2 linked regions of the Oryctolagus cuniculus genome follow. The protein of the gene in region 2 interacts with the protein of the main gene of each other region in a pairwise test. Links are inferred from orthologs where the notes say so. Each region holds a gene or a part of one and is shown on either strand. Other genes may lie near its edges. The genes, in order: NR0B2 and RXRA.

Evidence for each region.
Region 1: the proteins of RXRA (region 2) and NR0B2 interact in a two-hybrid assay, tested with the Homo sapiens proteins (2 studies listed by BioGRID and IntAct). The link is inferred for Oryctolagus cuniculus from reciprocal best matches to the Homo sapiens genes RXRA and NR0B2.

The regions. Positions count from the first base shown.
Region 1 is NC_091438.1:144,600,116-144,604,613, reverse strand, and holds NR0B2 (nuclear receptor subfamily 0 group B member 2), read right to left. Parts: upstream 2,735-4,498; 5' UTR 2,461-2,734; coding exon 1,920-2,460; intron 1,086-1,919; coding exon 844-1,085; 3' UTR 519-843; downstream 1-518. UniProt on the Homo sapiens protein: Transcriptional regulator that acts as a negative regulator of receptor-dependent signaling pathways. Specifically inhibits transactivation of the nuclear receptor with which it interacts.
Region 2 is NC_091432.1:235,969,244-235,973,038, reverse strand, and holds part of RXRA (retinoic acid receptor RXR-alpha), read right to left. Parts: intron 3,297-3,795; exon of another isoform or gene 3,149-3,296; intron 3,060-3,148; coding exon 2,909-3,059; intron 1,729-2,908; coding exon 1,549-1,728; intron 1-1,548. UniProt on the Homo sapiens protein: Receptor for retinoic acid that acts as a transcription factor.

The sequences.
Region 1 (4,498 bases), on a different chromosome or scaffold from region 2:
GGCCTGCCCTGGCCTCCAAGTAGCTGCCAGGCCAGCCCCGGGTGCCATTGCCCTCTCCTGTTGGGAAATAATGGACCCCCCTGTGCTACCAGCTGCAGGAATGGGCCAAGTGACGGGTCCCAAGCTGCAGACATTGCAGTCACCTGGTCTGTTTCAATTTGGGAACAGGCTGCTTCCTGACCGGCTCTGATCCAACTTTCACTGAGGAGAGAGGGAGTCTGCAGGGCTCGGGCGCTGAGAGACGGGTTAGTGGAAGGCGTGGGACAGGGAGAAGAGCCTTCTCGCTCCAAGGATAAAGGCAAGGAGGTGACATTGTGTGCTGAGAACTCCCCCACATGCAAAATGAATCTCATCTCAGAGATGAAATCGCCATCCCAGCCAGAACAACTCACACCCCCGTTTCCTGAGGCCTGGCTCCTGTGCCCCTTACGACCCCTGCCCTCCTCTGATAGGAGCAGGTGGGCCCTGGAGGTGAGACAGTCCCTGTCGTGTGCCCAAAACACAGTGGCAGGCTCGGAGAGTGTCACACCTTTTATTACAAAAACCAATAACTTAAATTCAGTTCTGTACAAAGCCAGCAGGACTCCCCCGGCCCAAAGAGCAGCTTCAGTCCTTTGCCATCAGCAGGAGGGGACAGGAGTCTGGGCGCAGAGCCTCTGGAGACCACAGAGGGCCTGCCAGACAGCTGGAGCGCCACGTCCATGCCAAGGAAGTCCCAGTCCGGAGGTGGCTGAGAGAGGGGCTGTGCAGGAGCAGCGGGGCACCCCTGGGGACAGGCAGGCTGAAGTGGCATGGCCAGCGTCTGCACAGGCTATGGCTGACCCCTGCCTGGGCCACAGCATGTCACCTCAGCAGGAGCATGTCTTCCAGGAGGCCGGCGATGTCCAGGTCTCCAATGATGGGGCGGAAGAAGAGGTCCCCGAGCAGACCGGCCGGAATGGACTTGAGGGTGGAGGCCGTGAGAAGGACTCGGGCCAAGCGGCCTTGGCCTGCTGAGCACCAGGGCTCCAGGGCTTCACGCAGCGCCCAGTGGGCCTCCTGTTGCAAGTGCCCGATATGGGAGGTGGCCTGGAGGCCTGGCACGCCTGTGAGCAGAGAGGACGGACAGGTCTGGTAAGCACCCTCTCCCCGCCACCAGCAGGCATCACCTGCCTCGTCGGCTCAGCCTTCAAGGCTCCGCTACTACCTCCTCCATCGATTTCTTTATCACTTTATTTATCTATCCATCGACAGCGAGGCCATATAAGGTAAGGGTTAAGGACCGGGCTGCCTGGATTGGATTTCTGGCACCATCATTGATGACTGAGTGACCTTGGGCAGGGTGCTTAATCTCTGTGCCTCAGTTTCTTTATCTGTATAGTGGAGATGATAATGACCGCACCTGTCTCCAAGACTTGCCGTGAGGGTTAAAGGAGTTAGCGCATCTAAAGGTCCGTATGGTAACCACACCATGAGGTTCTGCTGCGGGGAGGGCAGTCAGTGGGCACAAGGACCTTCTGGCATGGCACGCTTTCCTCAGCTGCCCCCAGATTACAAAGGACACCATCTCCATCTCTATCTGTAGCCCTCCCCGCTGAGTTGCCTCCCCCGCACCTCCTTCATTCTCCACCCCACCCCACCCCATCCCCCCCGCCATGGGAACTTTCTGACCCCACACGGGAGTTTAGCCTTCAAAGCTTCGCCACGCCACCTGCCCTTGAGAGCGTGCTGAGACGCGGCTGTGTCAGCCGCCCTCCCCTCAAAGGGTCAGGGGGCCCGGCCCGGCCCGAGTTCTCACGCCTGCTCTGCTCCCACCTGCTAGCCACTCAGCCCCTCGTGTGAGATGGCCCTGTGGGACCCAGTAGTATAATAGATACTGAGCCCTCGGAGGGTGCCCCGTGCCCCCTCCCAGCTCCACCCAGAAGTGTCTGGAAGCTCACCAGGGTTGAAGAGGATGGTTCCTTTCAGGTAGGCGTATTCCTTGGGGCCCAGCTCCAGGCTCCAGAAGGACTCCAGGCAGCACTGCAGCCATTGCACGGCAGCCAGCGAGGGCTGCGGCCTGTCGGGGAGCTGGCCACTGCTGGCCCCACAGCTGGGCTCCTCCAGCAGGATCTTCTTGAGTATGCTGGGCACAGGGGCTTCAGCCACCTCGAAGGTCACCATGTCTTGGGCCAAACCCAGCAGAAAGAGGGAGCCCCAGCCGCCACGCAGCAGCCGCCGCTGATCCTCGGGCGGCAGGCGGCCGAAGGACGGAAGGTTCCGGAGGAAGGCCACTGTTTTGGCCAGAACGTCCAGGGCCTCCCGGCAGGTGCGATGAGGGCTGCAGAGCCGGACGGGCCGATGCTCCCTGCACAGGCAGTGGCTGCGTGATGGAGGGAGAGAGGGCCTGGCCCTGAGACTGGGGCTCAGCAGTGCATACAGAATGGTCGGGCGGCCTGCGGCGGCCTGGCACGGGCAGGCCCCTGGTTGGCTGGAGCTCATGGTCACGGCTCCACTCCTACTGCCTCCCTGCTCTCTGCCCTCTGTGCTGTGCTGCGAGCGCTATTTATATCCCCAGTGGGCAGGAGGGAGGAATGGGCCAGCAACCTTGACTCCAGGAGTCATGTTCATTGAAACACACACACACACACACACGCACACGCACACTGACCCTGGCAGGACTGATGGGGAAGTGGCGAGGGCGGGGCCGTTAGGAGCTCCACGTGGCGCTGATATCACTTCAGTCAATGAAGTAGCCAGTGCGGGGCACAGGGCCACCTGCCTGCTGACCGGTTGCTTCTTATCGGATGACTCAAGTGGATAAACAGGGTCATTAACCCAGGCTGTACCAGGGCACCAAGGCCTCCGGTGCACAATCAGCATGTGGCTGTGGCTGGTGTCCCTAAAGGTGCCTGCTCCTGCGTGTGCACAAGGCCAGTGCTCTTGCTAAGCCTGGAAGCCAGCTCTGGAGCTGGACGAGCCTTGAGTGCGAGGCCCAGCCTGGAAGTGCCTTATCACTAGCTTGTTTGCCTAACCTTGGGGCCCTGCTCGTGTTGTTGGTAAGAAACAGGCTGTGGGGAAGGGAGCCAGGACCCTGGTGGGGGGGTTGGGAGGACTTTGCCCACTGTGCTGTGTGGCCCCTCCTTTGACTCCAGTTCTGGGGGCCCTGCAGAAACCCAATGCTGCAGACTCCCCTGTCCCAGTTTTGGATACCTAGAGCTCCTGAAAGGTCATGGCTGCGGAAAAGTCCTTCCAGAATGAGCACAAACCACAGCTGCCTGTATTGAGCACTTGCTGGGGGCCAGGCCTCTTCCGATCCAATATTGAGAGCTAGTGTTGACTCCGGATTCTTCCTTTGTGAGACCCAAAGGGGTGACGTGACGTGTCCAAAGCCATCCCTCCAGGAAGGAATGGGACCCTGAGCTGCCTGACCCTAAAGTCCTGGCTCCTTCCTCGGGACGCACCGGCTCAACTGTGCAGCCAGGGCCTGAGTCCCCCAGAGTGGGGCCAGGCCTGCTTGTGATTGGGACAGAAACGGCGCTCTACTTCCACACGGCTCCTCCATCCTGACATCCGTCTCAGACGGTAGCCAATGGGGCTAGAGAGAGAGAGAGTGAGGAGGTCTCTAGACCTTGCCCAGCCCACCCTGGCCAGCCACCTGCCATCATCCTCTGCTTCCCAGGGACCTCAGCAGGGACTTGAATTGGAAGTGTGCCAGGACTTAAACCAGGCACTCTGATACGGGATGCAGGTGTCCTAAGTGGTGGTTTAACGCCCTGTGCCACAACACCCTCCCTTCATTATCTATTTTGATGCCCAGATTGTCACAGATTTGGCCTTTGATAGCCCCCTCCTGATCTGCTCTCAGCATTCTTGGAACCTTCCTTTGTTTTCTGATATCAACCTCCCCAGTCCCTGGAATCAACCAGTTCATCAGAGAGCTCTGGATCAATCTCTTAGAGAATAACCCCATGATCGGGGGGGGGGGGGCTGGCAATCATTTTTAAAAAACTATTTTCTACAGTGAGAATAGAGAAGTGATTTTATCTTTCCTCTTGCATGGTTGATCAAAAAGTGTCTTTTTAAAATATTTATTTATTTATTTATTTATTTATTTATTTATTTATTTATTATTTAGAGATTTTCCATCTGCTGGTTCACTACCCAAATGGCCCCAATGGCTGGAGCTGGGTCAGGCAGAAGCCAGGAGCCTGGAATTCCAACCAGGTCTCCCACACTGATGGCAAGGACCCCAAGTACTTGGGCTATCTTCTGCTGCTTTCCTAGGTGCATTAGCAGGGAGATAGATAGGAAGTGGAGCAGCCAGGACTTGAACCAGCACTGGGTATAGGATACCAGGGTTGCAGGTGACAGCTTAACCCACTGTGCCACAATACCAGTCTTCAAATTTTTTATTCTTTTTTTTTTTTTTTGACAGTCATAGTTAGACAGAGAGAGACAGAGAGAAAGGTCTTCCTTCTGTTGGTTCACCCCCAAAATGGCTGTTACGGCTGGCGCCCTGTGCCGATCTGAAACCAGG
Region 2 (3,795 bases):
GTACACGCATGCATACATACAAACGTGTGCACATGCACATACACACATGCATACATATACATACATACACACAAGCATACAAACACGCACATACACACGTGTACATACACACACCTGCATACACACATATATACACACATGCCCGTGCCCATACATACATGTACACACAGGTGTGCATACACACACACAAACCCACAAAGCAACGTGATGTCTGTAGCTCCCTGGCCCCACTGGGGCCACAGCTCAACAGGGAGGCGTTGGCAGAGAGCCCACGGGGCCCCGTCCATCAGGGGCCAGGGGGAAGGAAGCAAGACACGTGTGTGAGACCACGGGAGCAGCCACAGAACAGACATACGCATGTGAGGCCACAGGAGCAGCCACAGAACACACACGTGTGAGACCACGGGAGCAGCCACAGAACTGACACACACGTGTGAGACCACGGGAGCAGCCACAGAACAGACACCCACACGTGTGAGACCACGGGAGCAGCCACAGAACTGACACACACGTGTGAGACCACGGGAACAGGCACTGCGGCAACCGCAGCCCACGCCTGGCTGGACGCCTGGGCTCTCAGTGACCTCAGGGGAGTGGCCTCCCTGCCACCCACTCCCCACACCAAGTTCCGCCAGCACAACGGCTTCAAAGCCCTGAGCGGGGCCTGAGGCGCCTCCTGCAGGCGGCGACCCCGGGCAGGGGCAGGAGGGGCCCCATGAGGAAGCAGAGTGCGGGACGATGCCCCCACCCTGCCGGCCAGCGGGCGTGGCGACAGCCCACAGGTCTCAGGCGGCGCCCCAACATCACCCTCCCTTCACCGGGCACAGCCGGTCACAGCCGGAGAGCGGGACGCAGCCCAGGGCTCGGGGCACCCACTCTTCTCCCCGGCTCCTGCCCGTGGCCCCACGTGCTCTCCGGAAGGCTCGCTCCAGGCTGCCCGACTCCCGGAGCCCACTCACTGCTCCGTCCCCCAGCACGGACGCCACCAGGGAAGGTGGGGGACAGCGGCCAGTCTGCCCCGTCTCCTCGCTAATCCCAGGGCCTGGCAGACAGCAAGTGCCCAGTGCTGCCCTGAGAGCTACCTGCCCCCTCAGAGAGCAGGGCCCCGCCCCCAGCACTACCCAGTCCCGCCTCTCCCAGGAAGCCCCGCCTCTCCCAGGAAGCCTCACCTCTCCCAGGAAGCCCCGCCTCTCCTGGGGAAGCTCTGCCTCTCCCAGGAAGCCCCGCCTCTCCCGGGGAAGCCCCGCCTCTCCCAGGAATCCCCACCTCTCCCAGGAAGCCCCGCCTCTCCCAGGGAAGCCCCGCCTCTCCCAGGGAAGCCCCGCCTCTCCCAGGAAGCCCCGCCTCTCCCAGGAAGCCCCGCCTCTCCCAGGGAAGCCCCGCCTCTCCCAGGAAGCCCCGCCTCTCCCAGGGAAGCCCCGCCTCTCCCGGGAAGCCCCGCCCACCATACAGCAGCAGCAGCGCTGGATGAGCTCGGGCCTGGGTGCTGTGCTGGGCGTGGCCGGTGGAGCAGGGCCCCGCCCCCACCCCGCCCCCACCCGGGCCTACCTTCCCGCTTCATGCCCATGGCCAGGCACTTCTGGTAGCGGCAGTACTGGCACCGGTTCCGCTGCCGCTTGTCGATCAGGCAGTCCTTGTTGTCGCGGCAGGTGTAGGTCAGGTCCTTGCGCACCGTGCGCTTGAAGAAGCCCTTGCAGCCCTCGCAGCTGTACACGCCGTAGTGCTTGCCTGCGGGGCGGGGCCGTGAGCCGGGGGCAGGGCCTGGGGCCTGGGGGGGCACAGGGAGGGGGCCTGGGGCACGGGGAGGGGGCACGGGGAGGGCTCGGACACGGGGAGGGGGCCTCAGGCACGGGGGGGGGCACAGGGAGGGCTTGGACACAGCCCTCGCAGCTGTACACGCTGTAGTGCTTGCCTGCGGGGCGGGGCCGGGGGCGGGGCCTGGGGCACGGAGGGGGGGCAGGGGGAGGGCTCGGACACGGGGAGGGGGCCTCAGGCACGGGGGGGGGGCACGGGGAGGGCTTGGACACAGCCCTCGCAGCTGTACACGCTGTAGTGCTTGCCTGCGGGGCGGGGCCATGAGCCAGGGGCGGGGCCTGGGGCACGGAGGGGGGGCAGGGGGAGGGGGCCTCGGGCACGGGGAGGGGGCCTCAGGCACGGGGGGGGGCACGGGGAGGGCTTGGACACAGCCCTCGCAGCTGTACACGCTGTAGTGCTTGCCTGCGGGGCGGGGCCATGAGCCAGGGGCGGGGCCTGGGGCACGGAGGGGGGGCAGGGGGAGGGGGCCTCGGGCACGGGGAGGGGGCCTCAGGCACGGGGGAAGGGACACGGGGAGGGCCTGGACACGGGGAGGAGGGGCTCAGACCTGGGGGAGGGGCTTCAGACACAGGGAGGGTCCTCAGATGGGGGCGGGCCCTTGGACCAGGGGGCAGGGCCTCAGACATGGGGGAGGGGCTCAGACACGGCCCGCAGCTCTACACACCAGGGTGCTTGCCTGCCGGCACAGGGCTGCTGAGGGACTGCCGGGGTGTGGGGTGGGGGCGGGGCTCGGACACGAGGGCCGAGGCCAGGGCCAGCAGCAGGCTGGTCACTCTGCAGGCGGGGGTGGGGGCAAGTGTGGCTGGACACCTGGACAATTTCAGTGGCCTCAGGGAGCGAGGGCCCCGTGCCCCCACGCGAGTTCTGTCCGTGGACAAAACGGACTCCAAGAGACCCTGGGCTCCTGAGCCTGCCTGGGCGTAAGCTGGGCCCCGCCTCGCCCTCCCCACTGGGGGGGGGGGCAGACCCGCTCCCGGCCACAGGGGAGCCGGCTGGGGAGGGGCATCTGGGCCGCCGTGGGCTACCCAGGGGGACCCTTCCCCAGGCCCCAGACGCCCCGACTCCGGGCGCGGGTCCCCCCGCCAGGCCCTACCTGAGGAGCGGTCCCCGCAGATGGCACAGATGTGCTTGGTGAAGGAAGCCATGTTCCCCGAGGGGTGCGTGGGGACTTTGAGGACGCCATTGAGGCCCAGGGGGGGCTTGATGTCCTCGCTGCTGCTCACGGGGTTCATGGGTGAGTTCAGCTGCGGAGGCGGGGAGGGGGGTGACCAGGTGACTCTCAGCCCAGACACATGGCCGACCCCACCCCTGTCGGCCCCTGCCCGGCGCCCACCTGACCACAGGCAGCCTCTCATCAAGGAGACCCCAGAGGCCTCCTGGAGGGAGGAGAGCTGGGCTCCCCCACTGCCCTGCGGGGCCAGCTGGGGCGGGGTCCCCGGTCACGTGACCCGGGAGAGGGCACAGACACCGCCTGCGTCTGGGGCAGGGCCACCTTGCGGCCTTGCACTCCTCCCTGGCCCGCCGGGCCACCCGCCCCGCCTGCCCGCCCCGCCGGGGCGAGCGTGGGAAACTCACCCGGTCACCCTGGCAACAGCTGCCGCGTCGCAATGACACAGCAGTTTTGGTTCCGCTGCCTCCGCCCAGCTCTGCAGTCAGCGCAAAGGGCCAGGAGACACTTCCCACTGCCTCGCGCCTGCCCGCCGCCGCCGGCACCGCTGGCGGGACCCCAGCCCGGCAGCAGCCCCCATCTCCGCTTCTGCAAACCCCCAATGACTCGGAAAGCTGCTGAGTCGCCCGCGGCTGGCTCCAGGCCGCCTCCGGCAGAGGGAAGCTCTCGCCTTCCCCTCCTCTCGCTGCCCAGCCCCACCCCGTCTCCAGGGACAGGAAGAGCCCCCTGCAGAAGCCAGCACGCACAAAGCGCCCAAAGCCTCCCTCCGCTCCGGCCTCAGCGCCCTCAGCGCCCACAGCGCCGGGCACGAC